Linked DNA regions of Mus musculus. The protein of the gene in region 2 interacts with the protein of the main gene of each other region in a pairwise test. Links are inferred from orthologs where the notes say so. Each region holds a gene or a part of one and is shown on either strand. Other genes may lie near its edges. The genes, in order: Rhoj and Pak2.

Region 1 (10,341 bases), on a different chromosome or scaffold from region 2:
AACTAACAACAGGATAGAAGATCTGTGCTGAAGTGAAGAGATAATTTTCTTTTATAAAATAAATCTTAGGTATTTATCTATATAAAAAAAGTATCTAGTGGTTTATTTCATAGCCTTGTGAAAGTTGCTTCAGGTTTGTTTTCTTTCCAAGAAATGAGCCCATTCTTTCTTTAGCGTGCCTATAAATGTTTTTATAAAGAGTGAAAGAGATATTCCAGAATAGATTTTCCTGTAGGGCAGAACTATGTTACAAGTCTTTGTTTTTTATTTTCATAGTGTCTGGATCAAACTTAGTGATAGACAAGCGCTCTACCATGGAGCTATAACTCCAGTCCCTGTGGAAAGTCTCCGTAGGCCTAACACTTAGTGTTTCTTCAGTTTATTATTTCTCTCACCTCTGTGGATTTGGCCTGGTTTCCATGGGCTATTCCTGCTGTTATGACTGCCTCTGAGTCCACCTTGGGCCAACTACCATTCAGTTTGGTGGAAAAAGTTAGAACCAGATTTCAGTTTTCTGTGAAAACAACTTCCTTTTATGTCTCACAAAGCTGATAGAGTAACTGGATCTTCCTCTTTTCCATGAATTGTGTTAACTTCCGGCACAGGCGGCCTGAGTTTGCAAACACTGGCTTAAAGTGGCTTCTTAAACAGAGTGACTTCTGATGACAGAGCTCTAGGTGGGAGGAGTGTTAGGAGAGAGACCCTTCAGACAGAATGCATTTCAGTACAGAGTGTGATGCAAATGGTGAAGTCTGTGGAGACATGCTTCAACTGGAGATGGCTACATACGCTGCCTAACAGCATATAATCCAACTGAACTCAGATGCAAGTTTTATTCTGATGCCATATGAAATGTTAATGGATATTTTATCAGTAAGGGGTTGGTCACAAAATTGAAGAACAAGAAGATATGCTCTTGTTGTATGCTAAACTCAACAACCCAGAGGCTGTTAGGGGATTTTAAGGAATCCTTGGATGGGCTTCGGAAGCAGTGTCCAATGGTGCTTTTAGAGCCTCATAACATACGCCATTTACCCTTTCTACCTTTATCCTGATGCTCCAACTCTGGAGTCCTAACCTTCAGTGGAACTTGGGTTATTCTTGTATATGCTCTGTTTATAAGAAGTACAACTGTTTGAGTGCATTACACCAAGTGCAGTCTAGCTTTGAGTGTAACACAGGTGGAGGAAATCGGGTGACATGTATACACTGTAGAGCGACACTATTCGATAGTTGTCACAATGTCCACTGAGGTCAAGATAATTATTACTGTATTATAGCTTCAGTAGGAGAGATGATTGTATAGAATATAAAACAAAACAAAACAAAAAACCCTACAAGATAGAATACATATAACAAATAGTTTCATATGTTCATTCTTAAAGAAATATATATTAGACTGGCATTATATATTTGTCAAAGTTTTATTTTTTTCCGGTGCTTGGGATCAAGTACAAGATCAGGTACTGAGGCCTGAGCATGTGTGGCAAGGCTTCTACTACAGAACCATGCCTTTAGTACTGTTCACCAAAGCTTTAGTGGACTAGAGATGACTCGAATGCTGGAGAGAACAAGAAGGTGAATGCTTAGAATCATGTCACTCAGTGATCATCTACTGAGAGTCTAATATGTCCCAAGCTCTGCTTTGAGAAGCTGAAGGTAGGAAATAAACAGACAACATTAAGTAGTATTAAATATGGTCAAGGACGGTATAGCAGAAAAAGAGGTCTCTCTCTCCTCTCCTTCTCTCCCTCTCCCCCCCCTCTCTCTCTCCCTCTCTCCCTCTCTCTCTCTCTCACGTGTATATGTGTATGTGTGTGTTTACTTGAACATGCACATGTATGAGTATGTGTGTGTGTGTGTGTGTGTGGGGACACAGGAACAGACACATGGCACAGACACATGGATTAAATTATGTGGCCAATTAATACTATGTCAGATATGGGCAGGGAGTGTCGGGCCAGGGTAAGAGTGAATGTCACATATTTAAGGAGTCTTCCATGAGAAATAGCAAGATGGGCTACTGTGGTTACAGAAGAAATACCGAGAAAATTGATAGAGGACTAGAAGAGAGAAAACAGGGACAAAGTCAGAGGACCTTGTACACTGTGGCAAAGGAGGAGTATGTGTTTGGGAGGAAAGGATGGGGGTGCTGGGACTGTGGATGGCTCTGTGTCAGCTGGGTGGAGACTCACAGTGGGCAGGGTTAGAAGAGGGAGTTGGGAGGCCACTATGCTGGTGTGGATGAGAGATGATGGTGGTGTGGATAGGAGAAAAGGCTATAAAAGGTCCTGACAAGTGGCAAAGGTTGGTTCTTGGTGCACTGTGAATGCTGAGCTCATATGTACGAGCAAGGGATGATAACTAATTGTTTGAATGGAGAGGAAGAGGAGGGATCAAAGGGAGCAAGGGGTCATGGGTGATACTGGTGTTTGTTCTCAGTCACTGGGCAGAAGAAACCAGCAGTGCTCTTACATGGAGAGGAAGGGAGGTGGAAGAGTGGATGGGAGACTTGAAGAAGCATTGGCTGGAGAGGCCTGTTAGATACATAAATGGATGTGTACAGTTATACAGATGAGTGTTCTGAGGCTGTTGGGGAGGGGCGGCAGATGCAAATACGAAATTGGTGGTATAGCAATGGCATCTTAAGCTGTGAAAGTAGATACTAACACCCAGGTTCCAAGGTTCACCAGAGAAGTGAGCCGAGGGACTGACGACTGAACTGTTACCACTGGGAGATGGGGGAGAGCGTTGCCAGGGGGTGGGACAGTAAAGGGAGGAAGTGCTTCAGAAGCCAAGCTAGGAATGTGTTTTAAGGAGAGTCACGAACCATCAAAGCATCTCTGGGGCAAGATGCCAGCTAGATGTGGCAGGAGATGACCTTCCTTTAAGGAGTCTCAGCACAGAGGGGGTTGCGGGGGTCGGGGGTGGGAGTAAGGAAGTAAAATATGACAGGGTGGTGCGGACTGCGCCTAGAGACGTAAACACATTTCTGGAGGTGACTGGACACAGATCAAGGACCCTCCTCAGACAATTCAGGAACGCCATATAGAATTAGTATACTGGTGTGCTTTTTTGGATTCTGGTAGTTTGGGATTCTGGTAGGTTGGAAGGACAGGCAAATCAGGAGTAATAAAACCTCAACCTTTTTTTTTTTTTTTTTACAGTTTTTTTTTCTGCTATCACTTTTGTATTTTTACCTCTTACGTTAACATCCCGTGACTACTATAGCCAGGGCCATTGGGTCTTACCTCCATGATGGCTATTTTATAAGGACAATAATACATCCTATCCTGCCCCGTACTTTCATTACAGGATACTCCTCTATCTCCGGTTGTAGTTCTTCTCTTTTAGTAACATTTTAATTTGATTTAATCACTGTATGTATTATTTGTATAGACTTTGATGTGATATGTGCCCCCCCCACATCTAACATTGTGTGTTGGGGGTCTAGAACTTTACACATATGAATGAATTCATTTCACTTTTAAAAACAATTCCAATATCTTTACGGTCCCTGGTTTTACCTTTCAGAACTGAGGCACAAAGAGGTTCAGTAACTTTCTCAAGGCCACAGAGTAAGTGACAGAGAAGGCAGTATTAGAGCCAGGTCATGTGGTATTGTTGTACTCAGTCCTACTACATTACATACTTTCCTGGCGTGGACCATCATTCGTGAACTATCTTTAAGAGACAGGCTGTCTTTGATTTCAACTGCAGTTTTTTTTTTTTCAAAAGACACGGCAGATGTGTTTCCTGTTGTTCTATCAGAGTGGGTCAGTAGGACCCAGGGAACTGAAAACTGGATCCAGATGCGAAAGGGGGCGTTTGGTTATTTTAGAACTGATCTGCTCCCTGATGGCCGCCCACGGGCTGATGCTCGGCCAGAGCAAGTATGAGCAGGGCTGGGTCCTTGGGATAGAAATCAGCACTCAAGAGTCTCTCGTGTGAGCGTGGCTCACGCCTTTCCCTGCTTTAACCACATGGATAGCACGTGAGATATCATGTATGAAAGAAGTATATAGAATAAACGGAAGTCACCATGTTCAGGAATGTCTACTGTGTACAAAGTACTGCTCTGAGTTTCGGGGCTGTGAGTTCTTGGAAGCTGAAATTATACAGTTTAGTTCCTGAAAAACTCAAGTATTAAAACTTCTTTGAGAGGTTTTGGTGCTCAACCACCAGCCAGTGTGCATATAATTGAAACATAAAGTAACCCAGTGCCAGCAAAGTCCAGCTGGTTTGACCTCTAATGTTTTTTTCCATCATAGGCTAGCTTTATTTCCAAAGATGGTTTTGTCTTTCTTCCCAACACCACTTCGATTGGCTCACCCGAAGGACGGGTATCTGGAGACATAATTTCCCAGGCACTAAGAGCCTTTCCTTTTAGTAGATTTTCGGTTCTGTCTTTGATCAGAAAGTTCCTGAAATAAAGTACTTGCCACCTTCCTGTCAAGCATGAAGAAGACACAGGAGAAATAATTTCTGCTATGATGTTTTTCAGGACCGGAATTAGAGTCCCTTCCTCAAAGCACTTTACAACATTTTTCCCCCTCAAGATAAACCTCTTTTTGTCTTTTTGTGTTCTCATTAAAAAGTTCTTCCTTGGCCAAACTCACTATGTTTTCAGAAAAGCTCAGGAATTTGGTCTTCAAATTTCTAGGTAATTTCTACAGAGTGAAAGACCTAATAGGAAATGGACGCCCTTGCCAGCTGCGAATCCCTCCCCTGTCAGCTGTGTACCACTGCTGCAAATAGGTCCACTTAAAAGGAAGGGAAGATGGGGGTGGGGGGAGCCCTCCAGAGAGGATGACAAGCGTCTGCTTCCTATGGAGGGAGGATTTCAAATGGCCACACAGCAGAGCTCCAGGCTGACTTCCTGTGAGGGCTTCCTTTAGGCTGATCCTGATCCCAAGCCAAGGTGAAGAGAGAGACATTTCCCTTCCACCAGACCCCAGAGCTCTGATAACTCAAGGGCAATCGATCGAAGTGTTCAAAAGCACTATAAAACTGAGGCCACAGTAAGTCCAAGGCAACGGGTCAGTTCACATAGGGGAAGCTTAGGGGTGGCAGCTATGTCAAGAAACAAGGCATGATGCTGACTGACATCACCACAAACCTTCAAACCCTCAAACACTAAAACTCCCCTGAAAGGATTAAGTTGTGACTACAGCATCGGGGTGATCACGGTTTAAAATACTAGATACTCAAATTTGTCTTTTCAGGACATAGTTGAAAACGATTTAATTGCATTTGAATTTTTTACTTTAAAAAACATAGCCATCTTTTACTTAATTTTCCACTTAGTATTTAAAAGCGTGGGACACTTTTCTCCTTATCTACCATCCCAGAAGAGTGAAAGTACAAAATTTAAGCCCCAAGTAATCCAGGAAAAAAAAAAAAGAAGGTTTTATTAGCTGGTTCTATTAGCCGTTTGATCATGACTAGCATGGAGTAGAAAAAGTTTAGAGAGTAGAACACTTTCCATGTGTCTAGCGGTGATTTTTTTAAAATGGAATATTTTGCAATACACTACACTTCAAAAAAAAATAATTACCGTGAAAAGTTGAAGAAAGTTTAGGCAAAAATGTTGAGAAACATTTCTGGAGGATATTTCCCCAGGATTGCACATTTGTTTCAATAGGAGAAGCATGTGAATGGATGTACAGGGTCTCCGCAGGATCCTAGCACCATTCTTGATGGAGTTACCTGGTACCTGCCAGATCCACATCAGTCTGTGACTTTCTGGCGAAAGCCAGGTCCCTCTGAACGCTAGGTAGCTGTGCCCAGAACCCCACCGCTCATCTAGACGGAGTTGGTCCCCACGCTTTCCTACCTGCGTAGTGGTCAAACACAGTGGGCACGTATTCCTCTGGGAAGGCGTCGTTGGCGTAGCTCATCAGCAAGCAGGTCTTCCCCACCGCGCCGTCCCCGACCACCACGCACTTCAGGATCCTGTTCTCCTCATGTCCATTGCAGCCGCAGCTGCTGTCGGTCCTCTCTCTGCAGCTCATGTTGGCGGCTCCCGCAGCAGCTGCTGGGGCTTCTGCAGTGCATGGAGCGGTGGCACCGGCCCCAGGCTGGAGCTCAGGCGGCCTGACTCTGGCTGGCCGGGCTCTCCCAGGCACAGCCCAGACACACTCGAGCCCCGCAGCTCACCATGCTGGAGAAGGAAGGCACTCTTGGGAGGAGGGATGAAAAGGGTCTGTCCCTTTCTCCCAATCCCAACGGAGAAGTGGAGTTGGGGGTAGAGCTGGAGTTAAGAAACTCTCATGTCCATAGACTTCCCGGGACTTCCTGGCAGTCTAGAAATATCAGCAGCCCGTGAGAATCTCACTCTACCCTCCCCATCCCCAGCCTGGCTAATGACACGGTGGGATTTGGATAACTCCTGCCCGGTTTTCCACCACACAACTAATATGGAGGAGAGAAGGGCTTTTAAACGGAGTTTCCCCCCCCTCGCTTCCTCCAGCTTGCCGAGTGTCAGGAAATCGTGGGTTTCCTGCTGCATTCCATATTAGGATCAGTGGGCCGGGGAAGGCGGCAACAATGGGGCTCTGTGCGTGTGTTTGGACTTCTGGGGAACCAGGCCAGGACACGGAGAGGGGAAAACACTAGGGGTCCTGCAGCCAGCTTAAGCTGTCAAACTTCCTGCTTTATCCCCTGCTAGCTAGCCAGGCTGCTGGCTTGTGGCTGGGAAGAAGCCAAAGAAGAAAGGATGGAACCCGGGGAGCAGTGTCTGCCGCGGAAACTAGGGAGAGGACTGAGTTTGAGAGCTTGAGGGAGCTGAGAGGACCTCATAGGGATTGCAGGCTAACATATGACGTCATCCTCCCTCCCTGACTCACCAGTTCAAATCGACAGTTTTTTTTTCCCTTAAACGAGAATCTCAAGCAATTCTTTTCCGCAACAAGGAAGGAAATCTTCCAGAGTCACACGATTTTGAAGAGGGGGGAACGTTGTGCAGGTTGTAGGTATATTATGAGTGACCAAGTTTACAAGTCTGTGTTTGAGCACAATGCTCAAATATACATTTCAGACTCCCCAAAACAACCCCAATGATTTTTTTTTAAACAGAGGAAATCAATCAGATATTGGGCTCAATCAGATATGCTGAGCTCAGGACTCACACTTTTGGAAGTGAGAGAGAGAGGCACATAGTGTGGCCTTTTGGCTTGGTTAGAGTCTCTAATGCTGTGTATGCATAGAGGCTTCTCCTTTTCTTCGAATCATCTCCCCCTGGGTAGGCCCAGCTCTCCTCAATGACACAGGCGCATAGCAGCCAGTTTGGTGCCTGAGAACGAAGCCCCATTTGATAATGGACAACGTGAACCTACAAATGATTTTGACGAATGGGTTAAAGTAAAAAAAACCCTTTGCTTTCCTATGAGATTTTGAAGATTGCAGATTATCTAAGGGCTTTGAGCGGTTTCACTGTGGCCGGGACGGGGAAAAGTCAGCTTTAGTGACTGTCAGTAACTTAGGTACCTACAACTCATGTGCATGCTGTCAAGGTACAGAGTCCACACCTCTTCTGTTTTGAATAGAGTAAAACTTGCCATGATGCTTGGTGCCCCAACATTTCTTTCCTATGAAAGAAAAACATTTCAATTAGGTATAGAGTGTATCAGGGATGTTATGTTACCATAACAATAATCCCCAAAGTTCAGAATTCGAAATAACTTTCTCTTTCTTCCTTCCTTCCTTCCTTCCTTCCTTCCTTCCTTCCTTCCTTCCTTCCTTCCTTTCGTTCTTTCTTTCTTTCTTTCTCTCTCTCTCTCTCTCTCTCTTTCTTTCTTCTTCTTCCTCCTCCTTTTCCTCTTCCCTCTTCTTTTCCTCCTTCCTTCCTTTCCTCCTCCTTTTTCTCCTCCCCTTCTCCTCCCCTCCTTCTCCTCTGCACCCTCCGTTTCCTTCTCCTCCACCTCCTTTTCCTCTTCCTCTTCCCTTTTCTCCTCCCTCCTTTTTCTCCTCCCCCTCCCCCTCCCCCCCTCCTGTGTATCTTGTATACAGCATTGTTCTTTTTATTCAGGGTTGGGGCTGATTGAACTGTCATGCACACCATGGCAGGTGAGGAAATGGACATGGAGAAACTCTGGCTCTGTTTTCTTTAGGAAGTGACCCTCTGCTAACATTCCCTGGCCAGAACAAGTTGCACGCTTATAGGGGCTCAACTGAAGGGTCAGAAGCATCATCCTACCCTGAGCTGGGAGGGAAGTACCACACACTGATGAACAGCTTGAATGACAGACAGAGATCACTTATTTGACTCTACTTGGAGTGTAAATGGATCATATGAAGCCCCGTTGTGAAGCACGTGAAGGCCCCCACAGTTGCCTGTAGTTGGTGTAATTTTATTTCCAGTTAGTCTTTCTGGGGACCGCAGGGTATGCAGGGAATTGTAATTTAGAAACTTCTGTTATACTTTTGATAGAAGGCTTTGAGGATGAAGGAGGTAGTCACACAAACCTGTGCAGGTTAAAAGGTGATTGATTGGCAGTGCAAACATCCCTTCTCCCCCAAACTTAAAAGACCCCCAAACCTGCTGCTTGGAAGTGAACAGGATCTTCCGAGCACAATGTGATGATACAGTGGTTGGCAGAGCTGTGAGCAGGGTCTTCCTTGGCCTTTAGGCTGAGAGTGGCAGAACCTACACCTGCACACTATAGATATCGGCTATAGAGGCTTTTGGTGAGGTTGCTATTTCCATGTGTAACTAAATCTTGCACCATGGGGCACAGACAGTTAAGTCCATTCTTATGGTCATGCGGACTTTGTACTGCGACCTTTAAGACACTTCAAGAAGCTAGTTCTGTGTCTCTTCATCTGTGGAGTGGTACTTATGCCAGGCTGGAAGACATATGGAAGGCAAATGGCTTATAGCTCTGGAGAATGTTGGCTGTATTTCTCACTATAAAGTTGTTTTATCACCATTTAACAAAAATGTAACAATTATAGAAGGAAGTTTTGAGTATTCTATTAAAAAATAACAAGAAGATAAAATTTTAGTATTTTAGACTTACTGTTAAGTGGATTACACTGTCTATGAAAATACATCATTTTTAATATTAAAACCTTTAGACAACAAGACTGCCATGAAAACTGGGCCAGGTGGGGTACTCCTTTAAGTCCAGCACTCAAGGGGTGAATCTCTGAGTTCAAGGAAAGTTGGTCTATAGCCTGACTATATGTAAGCCAGTCAGGGTTATATAGTCAGACCCTGTCTCAAACATAATGAAAGTCTAAAGCAACAGCAATGATGACTGAGACAACAACAACAACCCTTACATGAACCTGAATCTTAAAATTTTACTATTGTTCTTACAGGTTCAGGAAACGATAGAGGTGTGTATGGTTGGCCAGGTAGAATGACCAAGAGTGTCCTTCCATTCTAAACATTTGCCTATATGAGTTTGGAAGTGGTATGAAGACTGCTGTCTAACATGCTCGTAGGCAGATGTCTGTACTTTTGGGTCTAGAGCCATGCAGATGATTGACTGGTGGTTACAAAACCATTAATTATTTGGTTTACCTCACCGCTAAGTTTATCCAAACTTAACAGCACATGGTGAAATCTTGTTGGGTGATATTTTTTGCTTTTTCCAACAGACCTTAATCCCCTGGCTCATTCCTGTTCACTGTGCTTTGGTTTTACAGGAATTTCTGTAAATGTCAGCTCAAACAGACACACACACAGTCACACAGTCACACTCACACTCACACACACACACACACACAGTCACACACTCACACATACATATACTCACTCTGTATCACACATGCACTCTTTCTAACTCTGTTACATATACTATACACATGCACACACTCTCTTTCAAAATACACACTCTCAGACATGCATTCACTTACATATACACACTTTTTCTCTCTCACACACTCACACATACACATTCTCTTTCATATGCATACACTCTCACACTCACATGCACTCACATACACACACACACTCACATACACATTCTGTCTCACACGCCTTGGCTCTCTTACACACTGTCTCACATGTACTCACATACACACACACTCTTACACACACACACACACACGCACACGCACACGCACGCGCACACACACACACACACACACACACACATCGTATCTTGCATAAATTCTGACTCATCTGACTTAGTCCAGTTTTCTTGTGACTTTAAAAGAAGGAAGAACCTTGACTTCTTTCCTTGTTTTCCTACCAGAGGTTGCACAGGGAAGTAGTGTAACTGGGTCAGATCTTATTCTGGGACAGTCTTTCTGTGGCAGTATTTTGATTCCAGGTTTATAAACGTGCAGTGTGTTATGATTCTGGTTATTCGAGGGCACCTAGAAGTCTCT
Region 2 (10,341 bases):
ATCTCCCTTGTTTATATCTCCCTTGTTTTTATATCTCCCCCGAACCCTGGGCCTCTCACTCTTTTATACTCTCAGTTCTCATCCATGCACAGCAGGCCACGCCACCTCACCAGGCACGCAGCTTCAGCTAATCAGGGCAGCAGGGGCAAATCTCCACCAAATTGGATTCACCTGTATCCTGGTACACCTGTGCAGCTCTCAAGATGTTTGTGGCTTATATGAGGAAGTCAGGTGCAAGTCATACGACTTAGCTACAGTCCCTGGCGCCTTTAGGACTGCCGCCACACCTGCTCCTAACAACAGACCACACCCATATTCTGGTGCAAGTCTTTCTGATCACCCCTTCTCTTAACCCTCTCTTAGGCCTATTTAAGCTGTCTAAAAATAACCCTTCATTATCCTACTTTCCAGAAATAACCCTTCTAACATTTTCACACTAGAGTTAAATGACACTACTTAAGGATAAAGATTCTTGATTGATTGATTGATTGATTGATTCTTTCTTTCTTTCTTTCTTTCTTTCTTTCTTTCTTTCTTTCATTCTGGGCACTGTGTCTTTAATAATCAGCTCTTGGGAGGCAGAAGCAGGTGGGTCTTACTGAGTTCAAGGTCAGTTCCTGGTTTATAAGCTTTATAAGAGTTCCAGACTATAGGTGGAACAACACTATGAACTAACCAGTACCCTGGAGCTCTTGACTCTAGCTGCATATATATCAAAAGATGGCCTAGTCAGCCATGACTGGAAAGAGTGGCCCAATGGACTTGCAAACTTTATATGCCCCAGTACAGGGGAACGCCAGGGCCAAAAAGTGGGAGTGGGTGGGTAGGGGAATGGGGGGGAGGGTATGGGGGACTTTTGGGATAGCATTAAATGTAAATGAGGAAAATACCTAATTAAAAAAAATCTAAATAATATCTGCGGGTAGCTCAGAGAAAAAAAAATGGTGTTCAAAACAATATGAACTAACCAGTAACCCCAGAGCTCCTGTCTCTAGCTGCATATGTAGTAGAAGATGGCCTAGTCAGCCATCATTGGGAAGAGAGGCCCCTTGGTTTTGCAAACTTTATATGCCCCAGTACAGGGGAACCCAAGGGCCAAGAAGTGGGAGCTGGTGGGTAGGGGAGCAGGGTAGAGGGAGGGTATAGGGGACTTTCGGGATAGCGTTTGAAATGTAAATGAAGAAAATATCTAATAAAAAATTGGAAAAAAAAAGTTCCAGACTAGACAGAGTTATATAGTGAGACTGTTTGAAAAACAACAAAACACTAATGTATTTATTTTGTGCACAAGTTTGCTCGATATTAGGGTGAAGATTTAGTCCTGGTTTTGAGCACAGATCATGGCAAGGCTAACCAGAGCCAGTGAACACTGTGGGAAAAAGGCTCCTGATGGCACACACATTAGCCAGAAGTCACACCTGACTTTTAAAAATTAAGAAGGAATGTTCCAGGTATGCAAAGGAAACATCAAATGTAGATAAATTCTGCAATCCACATTGTGATACCATCTCTCCTCCTTGGCCTCCATCCAAGCTCCATCCTCTCAGAATAAAACATGACCAACAATGAATTTAAGTGAGAACACATAAGTAACAAAGATTACTAAAAACTAAAAAATGAACAAACACTTTGAAATCTAGCTTCCCTTAAGTTTGGTCAAACTCTAAACAGCAATTCAAATATAGGAAAGGAAAAAAAAAAAAACCAACACACACAAACAGAGGGTGAGAGAGGCAGTAAACACCTAAGCACAGCTTCATGCAGTAGCAAAGAGGAACAAATTGGGACAACACGACTCTCTCAAAAGGAATGCCCACACAGTCTAAAACAAAGTACTGTTTAACGGAGAATGAAGGTCAAGCCTGAGTTAACTAAGCAACATGTCTTTCTTCCTTTCTTTTGAATAGAACTCCCAGTCTTTCATCCCAGCCTCTGGCGTGCTGGGATTACAGGTTTGTGCTACCACTCCTGCAGTATACTATATTTTAACAATCCAGAATAAGCTGGAGAGATGGCTCAATGGTTCAAATGATGGGAGTGTTAGCATGAGGACCAGAGTCCAGATCCCTAGAACACGTTCCTATAAATGCCAGGTAAGGTGTTGACTTGCTGGAAATCCCAGATCCTAAGAAGGTGGACACACTGGGGGAACCCCCGAAGCAAGCTAGTTTACCAGACTAGCCCTACTGACAAGCTGTGTGTGGGGTTCAGCTAGAGATACTGACTCAACGGATAAGGGATCAGGGAAGACACCCTATGTCAACTTGGGACTTCCATACACATACAAGTACATATGTGCCCATGAGTGTTAGTGCTGTGTCTCTGTCCTGTCTCTGTCTCTCTCTCTGACACACACATACACAAAGCAAACACGGCAGGGAACGTAGCGCAGTGGTCAGAATGTGCTTCGAATACGCCATCTCAGGTTGGGTAAGGGGAGCAATCTAGTAAGTACAATCATCAAATATGAAAAGTCACGTTTTAGAGAAAAAAATTGTTTAAATATTTATTTTATTTTAATGTATATGTATGTCACTGTATGAGTGAACAACATGTAGATAAAGTGCCCATTGAGTCCAGAAGACGGTGTTAAATCTGGATGAGGGTTTTGGGACCCAAAGTTTAGGTCTTCTGAAAGAGCAACAAGCACTCTTTTTAAGACTGCTCTTCTGGCCGGGCGTGGTGGCTCACGCCTTTAATCCCAGCACTTGGAGGGCAGAGGCAGGCAGATTTCTGAGTTCGAGGCCAGCCTGGTCTACAGAGTGAGTTCCAGGACAGCCAGGGCTACACAGAGAAACCCTGTCTCGAAAAAAAAAAGGGGGGGGGGGATAAATAAATAATACAAAGACTGCTCTTCCAGAGGACCAGGGTTCAAGTCCCAGAATCCACAGCTCACAACTAACTGGAACTCCAAGATCTAACACCCTCACACAGACTGTTACATGCAGGCAAAACACCAATGTGCATAAAGTAAAAATAAATAAGCTGTTAAAAAAAAAAAAGAACCCCATCCCCAAAAAAGACAAAGTAAAGAAGGTAACTTCATAGAACATGGGTTCAATAAAATTTTTAAAATTATCTTTTACAACATATTTTTTAAACACCCATTTCAGAATAAAACCATAGCAGGTTATTCTTGAGAGTATGTAACCAAGACCAGGTTCCAACTCTCTATCCTTCTGCCTCAGCCTCCCAAGTACTGGGATTACAGGCATGTGTGCTATCCACCAGACTACATGCAACTTAAAAGAGAGAACAAAACCAAAATGCAAGAAAGACAAAGCTTAATAATATATTGAGTGAAAAAGGAACAGAGAAGTTTTAAAAACACAATCCAAGACAGAACAGAGCAAAATAGCACATACCTATAATGCTAGTTATCCCAGCACTAAGAGGGTGGCGAGACCAGGCCAGTAGGATCAAAAGTTCAAACTCATCCTCAGCTACATAGGGAGTTCTAGGTCAGCTTGGGCTACATGAGATTCCTCAAGAAGAAAATATGTGGACCACCAAACAGACGCATATACCAGCTGATATGAGATCCCTAACACACATACAGTAGAGGACTTCCAGGTCTGTGTTCCTTCAGAGATGATGCACCTAACCCTCAAGAGACTGGAGGCCCCAGGGAGTTTAGAGGTCAGGTGGGGTGGGGGGCTGGGGCATCCAGGTGGCAATGAGGTGGGGTGGGGAGAAGGTGTGGGATGTGGAGCAGTCGGAGGGTGGATAGGGAGGGGTGGGGAAATGTAATTTGGAGTGTAAAAAATGAATTACAAATAAAATTTAAAAAAAGAAGAAGAAGAAGAAGAAAATACCTGAGACTGGTGAGGTCGGTAAAGGTGCCTGATGCAAGCCTGACAGTTCATCCACAGAACCCACACGGGGAGAACTAGATTCTGCAAGGTGCCCTCTGATGCACTTGTGCCCCCACCAGAAACAAATACCAAAAATAAGTATAGATGCAAAAATATTAAATAAGACAACTATTTTACTGATAACATATGATCTATAAAAAAAAGATCTCAAAAAACGCAGAACCTACTTGTCACCAAACAATACTACATTATAAAGTCATCAGTTAAGTGAGTGAGGAGACAAGCCACAGACCAGTAGAATGTCCACAAAAAAGTTCCTGATATAAAAGACTATTACATGAAACACATACAAAGAACCCATTACCCAGTGACAGGAAAATGAACAACTCTATTAAGAATGGACAAAATAGCTCCTGAGACACCCTATCAAAGATGACATACAAATGGCACAGCAGCAAATGAAAAGATGTTCAACATTACACATCACTGTGAGATTTTAAGAAACAATGAACAAGCACATACTGCTGATACATGTTTTAGAAAAGATAAAATCTACATACTTGCAAGGATGTGGAACTCAAGAAAATATAGCTTTGAAAACTGTACTGAAGTTTCTCATGAAAATAAATGTATCACTGCCACAATCTAGCTCCTTAATTTAACCCCCTCAGTTGAAGAGTTAAGTCTTTATGAGAAGACATTCAATGTCGCTAGTAATTACGACAATGAAATATGTCATACACAGTAAGATGGCCACTATGAAAAAACTTAAACACAGCCAGAGGTGGCTGTGGTGGTGATGCACGCCTTTAATCCCAGCACTTGGGAGACATAGGCAGGCGGATTTCTGAGTTCGAGGCCAGCCTGGTCTACAAAGTGAGTTCCAGGACAGCCAGGGCTACACAGAGAAACCCTGGGGGTGGGAGGGGGTAGTTAGAAGTAAGCCTCTGTTTAGGGGGTGATTTTTTTCCCCTTGACTTTAATTCTTTTATTTGGTGTTCCTGAGACAGTGAGTATGTATGTAGCCTGGCTGACCTTGAACTCATGATGATCCCCATTTCTGAGCCATCCAAGTACTATGATTATAGGTTGAGCTACAATGGCCTATTTATCTTGATTTTAAAATTGGAAAAAAGAACCCTTGTATATTGATTTCCATATGCATAATATGGTGATGCCTCATCTTTCTTTTATTCATTTTTTAAAGATTTATTTATTTCATGTACGTAGGTACACTGTCACTGTCTTCAGACACAGCAGGAGAGGACATTGGATGCCCATTACAGATGGCTGTGAGCCACCATGTGGTTTCTGGGAATTGAACTCGGGACCTTCGGAAGAGCAGTCAGTGCTCTTAACCACTGAGCTACCTCTCCAGCCCCAATGCTTCATCTTTCTAACGGTTATGAGCTACTCTAGTATATGGTACTCTCATCTGTGCTCATTTATAATTCTCTAATTCTCACACTGCTGGTCACTGGAGAAGAGGGGATCTTTACTGAGAAGTCTCCATCAAATTGACGTGGAGGCATTTTCTTTAATGATTGATGAGGGAGGGCCCAGTCCACTGTGGACAATGCCACTCCTGGGCATGTGGTACCATGTTATATAAAAAGCGAGCTGAGCTAGCTAGCCGTAGACAGCAAGCCAATAAGCACTGCCCCGCCACGGTCTGTGCCTCAGTTCCCAGCAACAGGTTCTTGCCTGAGTTCCTGCCCTGACTTTCCTCAATGATACACTGACTATAAACTACTCTAAGATGAAATAAACTGGTTTTAGACATGGTGTTTATCACAGCAATAGAAAACAGACACAAAGCCATGGTCAAACAGACAGAAACCCTGGCTAAACTTAATGGATCTCAAAAAAAAATAAAAAAGACAAAACAACAACAAAAAAAGTCCATTACATATATCATAACCTATGATATATAGGTAAGTAAAGAGACTTGTAAGGGAGGGAGTCTGACAGATGGGAAGTTAAGGGTTACAATAATCAGAATTCCCTTCCCTAAATACATGTATGAAACTGACTCAAAGAACAAACTCAAAAAAAAAAAAAAAAAAGGTATCTTGCCCAAGACTAATTAGAAGAGCCAACATTCAAACTCAGGTCTCCAGCTCCTGGGACACACAGAGTAAGTTTCACTACACAAGACAGGAAAGAACTTTACAATACTGAATGAACGTCCAGGCTAATTACCAAACCAGGAAGTGGTGGTACACACCTTTAGTCCCAGCACTCAGGAGGCAGAGACAGGTGAATCTCTAAGTTTGAGGCCAGCCTGGTTTACAGAGTGAGTTCCAGGCAGCCAGGACTACAGAGAGAAACCCTGTCTCAAACAAAAAAAAAAAAAAAGAAAGAAAGAAAGAAAAGAAAAAAGAAAGAAAGGAAATGAAGCAGTGAGACTAATTTTGATCACAGAAAGCTATTTCGTGATTATAATTAAGGGACATTTTTATCTTCTCTCTCTGCTCTTAAAGAGGCTTAAAAAATAAAAAGGAAGGGCAGGCAGGAGAGGTGGCTCAGTCCAGCACCCAGCATCCTTGGCAGCTCTCAACTGTCTGCAACTCCAGTCCCAGGAATCTGACACCCTATATGGCCTTCATAGGCACCCACATGGTACATATACACACATGCAGGCAAAACACACTTACACATTTTTTTTTTTAAATCTTTAAAAAGTTAGGAATTTCACCTCCGAGAACTCAGAAGCACAGTCTGCAAGTAGCAACTCCCCTCTAATCAGACAACCATCAGTTACTTCTGTAACTAGCAGTGCTTGAGGAGAGAAAGGCCTGACCTAGTCTCAAGACTGGAACACAGTCCAATTTGAACCAAAGCCAGAAAACTGAAAGCACCGAGTACGGAACATTATTACTGTAATAACCAATACTGATGAAGATAGTAAGGATTCAGCCATAGCTACTAGTTTTATACTTGGCAATTATTTCAAGCTCCTGCATTTTGTAAAAGTATAACTCAGAGTTTATCTTTAGCTAACCAGAACAAGTTTTAAATTTCCTCATTTAAAACACGTAAAACTAGCCTTCATCATGTCTAGTTGGAAACTTGCCTATCATAAAAATCAAAGAAACACGAGAACCTTTTATCAGACATATATCAACTAAAAACTATCACTTCATGAATTTAGGTTTCAGGACACGGATCACAAAGCCCAGAAGAATTAATCTCTTTCTCTCAAAAGGTAAATCTGGAATCAAGGCCCCAAGATAAGTGAAATACCCAAGAATTCTCTTTTTAAAAACATGTCTGCTTGCCCAACACAATGGTAATCTCACTGGCTAGGATTCTGACGCAGATCTTAAGTCCAGAAGTTTGAAACAAACCTGGGTATCATAGAAAGAGGCTGTCTCCAAAGAAAAACAAACAAATACCTGCTTTTGGAAACAAATGAGATATTCTGCAGGCACAGGCTTGCAATCCCAGCTACTAGGGAGGTTGAGAAGAAAACCCCAGTTCAAGGCTTACCTGGTAGGGAAGAGATTCAATACCAGCCTGGGAAACAGTGAGACTGTCTGCACAGAGAAGAGAGGGCTGGGCTTGTAACTCAGTGCTGCAAAGAACACTTGCCTAGCATCACAGGGAGGTCTGCGGTTCAATCCGGTACAAGGGGTTAAAAAGGAGAAAGAAACAGCAGAAACTAACTTCAAGGTACTTTTTCATTCCCTGACATTCCTCCCTAGTGTCAAGACAACTCACTAACCTAAGAACAACCCACAGTACCAAAGGATGGCAGTACTTGATACTAATCCATTTCCCCCATAGCCTGGCAGAGGGAAAGGTAATAATGTACTAGTGAAAACAAGAAGAAAACATTTTTAATTTTGGGCAACCTCTTTTACCAAAACCCAAAAGTTACATTTTCTATCTATCTAAGCAACAATATAAAATTCAGTTTCCCTGATGTAAATGTACAATAGTGTTCCTGGCTAATTAATCTCTAGAAAGACCTAAAAAGAGAGGCTACCAAATATGTTGGCTAACACGTGTAATCCCAGCACACAAGGCTGAGACAGGAAGAGTGTCACAACAGCCTGAGCTGGAATGAGGCCCTGTCTAGGAAAGGCAGAGGATGGGTATAAAAGTATACGAAAAAGGCTTCCTTCACACACACACACACACACCCCAACTGAAGAACTGGGGTAGAGACAAGCAAGAATGTTCTACAAATGCCACAGAGCTTCTGGCAAAGTTGACGTGCCCTAACCTGTTTTAAAAATTACTACTCACTGCCTTCATCCCAACCTAATTTTATTCATACTATTCTTTTGGATAGCTCTACCAAAAAAAAAAAAAAAAAAATCCCCAGAGCAAATTCTTGTGTATTTATTTCAATATCCTGCCTACTTTATAAGAGCGGAAGAGTCGAATACAGCAGGGGAAAAACGTGACGTGCACAACCTTCACCCAAAACACAGCTCAGCTCGTCGTTGTCTAATTTTGGGCCTAACCGGTTTGGTTGTCTTTTTTTAAAAGGTTAGAAACGAAAAGCTGGAAAATCTACAGGTCACTTGTAAAGAAGAACCTGGCGGCTATCGATGGGAGTTGGTGATTTGTCAAAGAGGAAACAAATCTCACTTCCACTCTACCTAGTTCTATTAAGACAGGGGATGGAGAGAGCCTCCTTCCCATCAAGCCACAATGGCAATTATTTAACACACTTCTGTCTTGGACGACTTGATCTAGAACTAATCAAAAGGCTGAGTCCATTAAGTTATTTGCAGCAACTTTTTTTTTTTCTTGTGAGGGCGCGCGTGTTTCAGACAGCCAAACATGGTGAAAAGCCAACCTCAGCCCAAGTTAACCTTAAGAAGCAAATATTCACCTCCTGGCTAAAGATCAAGCAAAAACCGTAAGATCCTTAACTTCTGTTCTTAAACGCAGGCTCCCAGAGCCCGGCAAAAACTTTTTCCTAATGTGGAGGAGGAGGAAGAGTTTACACACTGAACTTAAGGAGCTCGCGACAGGATTCCCGAGCGACGAGACTGCAGAGAACGCAGCTGGTAAAGGAGGGAACATCCAGGAACAAACCCGAGTCGTCCGGTGCAGCGCCGGCGGGAGAGAAGGGCAAGGACGGCCGGAGTGGCCAGGGTCCCCACAGCCCAGCAAGCTTCCTCTCGGCCGAAGCTTAGAGCCAGGGCGCAGACAATGAGCCACCGCCCGGAGCCGCGGGCCCGCCCGCAGGTGCTGGCGTCCCGGGCCGCTGGGCCCAGGCCGCGGAGGCGGGAGGAGGGCGGCGGCTCGGCCCGGCCCGGCCCGGCCCGGGCGAGCGGCAACCGCACTTACCAGAGAGGAAAGGTCTCCGCCCGACCCAGGGCGGGCTGCTTGGCCGACGCGGGCGAGCACTGCGCTGGGGCGCTGAGAGGGAGGAGGGCAGGGCGGAGGGGAGCGGCGCGGGGCGCGGCCGTCGCTACCGAGGCCGTGAGGCGCAGAACCCCTTGGGCCAGGGAGGGGAGGGCAGGAGCCTTCGGCAATGGCGACGGCCCGGGCCGGAGGGGAAGCGGAACAACCGCTGCCGCTGCGCGTGGCCACAACCCTGGGGGAGGGCGGCGGCGGGGGCGCGGGGCGGGGCCGTAAGACAGCCCCGCCCTGAAAGTGGCGTCATGACCCGAGGGGCGGGCTTTCACAGGGCGGCTGGGAACCGTAGTCTAGTCATCTGTTAGGGAGACTCAGGACAGTGGGCGTTACAGAGAAAACCTGTCCCTCATTTATCAGCATTCTGCATTGTCTGCAGTTACGGTTTACCTACTGACAAAGCTGACGGAGAACAGCTGATCCAAACATATTTGTGTGTAGAGGGTCTTTGTTTCTGAGAATGTATCCATTCACCAATTGGTGTTTTGTGGGGAGGGATGGCTTTTCGAGTCCTGGCTGTCCTGGAACTCACTCTGTAGTCCAGGCTGACTTTGAACTAGAGATCCTCCTGCTTCTGCCTCCTGAAGAGGTACTGCCCAGCTCACTTTGTTTTTTGGTTTGGTTTGGTTTGGTTTGGTTTTTTGGAGGCAGGGTTTCTCTGTATAGCCCTGGCTGTCCTGGAACTCACTTTGAAGACCAGGCTGGCCTCGATTAAAGGAATGCGACGCCACCGCTTTTTTTTTTCCTACAAATTTAACCAGATTAAGTTGAATCAGATTATGCTGCTAAATTAGGTCCTCCCTCTTTGCAAAACAAAGATTTTTTTATTTTTCTGTATTTTATCAATGGAGGAGTTAATTCATGTATTCTTATTCCACAACTATGTCAATATCTAATATCTACAAAAGACCATTTAGGTACCAGAAATGAACATGCTTCACCTAGTCTTTGTAAAGGTTAAAAACATGAAAACGGTGGTGGCGCACGCCTTTAATCCCAGAACTCGGGAGGCAGAGGCAGGCAGATTTCTGAGTTCGAGGCCAGACTGGTCTACAGAGTGAGTTCCAGGAAAGCCAGGGCTATACAGAGAAACCCTGTCTCAGAAAAAAAACAACCAAAAAAACGTATGAAAACATAAAAACCAAAA

Evidence for each region.
Region 1: the proteins of Pak2 (region 2) and Rhoj interact in binary tests that used the Homo sapiens proteins (3 or more experiments, as listed by UniProt). The two-hybrid records come from large-scale screens. The link is inferred for Mus musculus from reciprocal best matches to the Homo sapiens genes PAK2 and RHOJ.

The regions. Positions count from the first base shown.
Region 1 is NC_000078.6:75,304,497-75,314,837, reverse strand, and holds the start of Rhoj (rho-related GTP-binding protein RhoJ), read right to left. Parts: upstream 6,526-10,341; 5' UTR 6,015-6,525; coding exon 5,837-6,014; intron 1-5,836.
Region 2 is NC_000082.6:32,069,963-32,080,303, forward strand, and holds the start of Pak2 (serine/threonine-protein kinase PAK 2), read right to left. Parts: upstream 9,381-10,341; 5' UTR 9,126-9,380; intron 9,090-9,125; exon of another isoform or gene 8,871-9,089; intron 1-8,870. UniProt on the Homo sapiens protein: Serine/threonine protein kinase that plays a role in a variety of different signaling pathways including cytoskeleton regulation, cell motility, cell cycle progression, apoptosis or proliferation.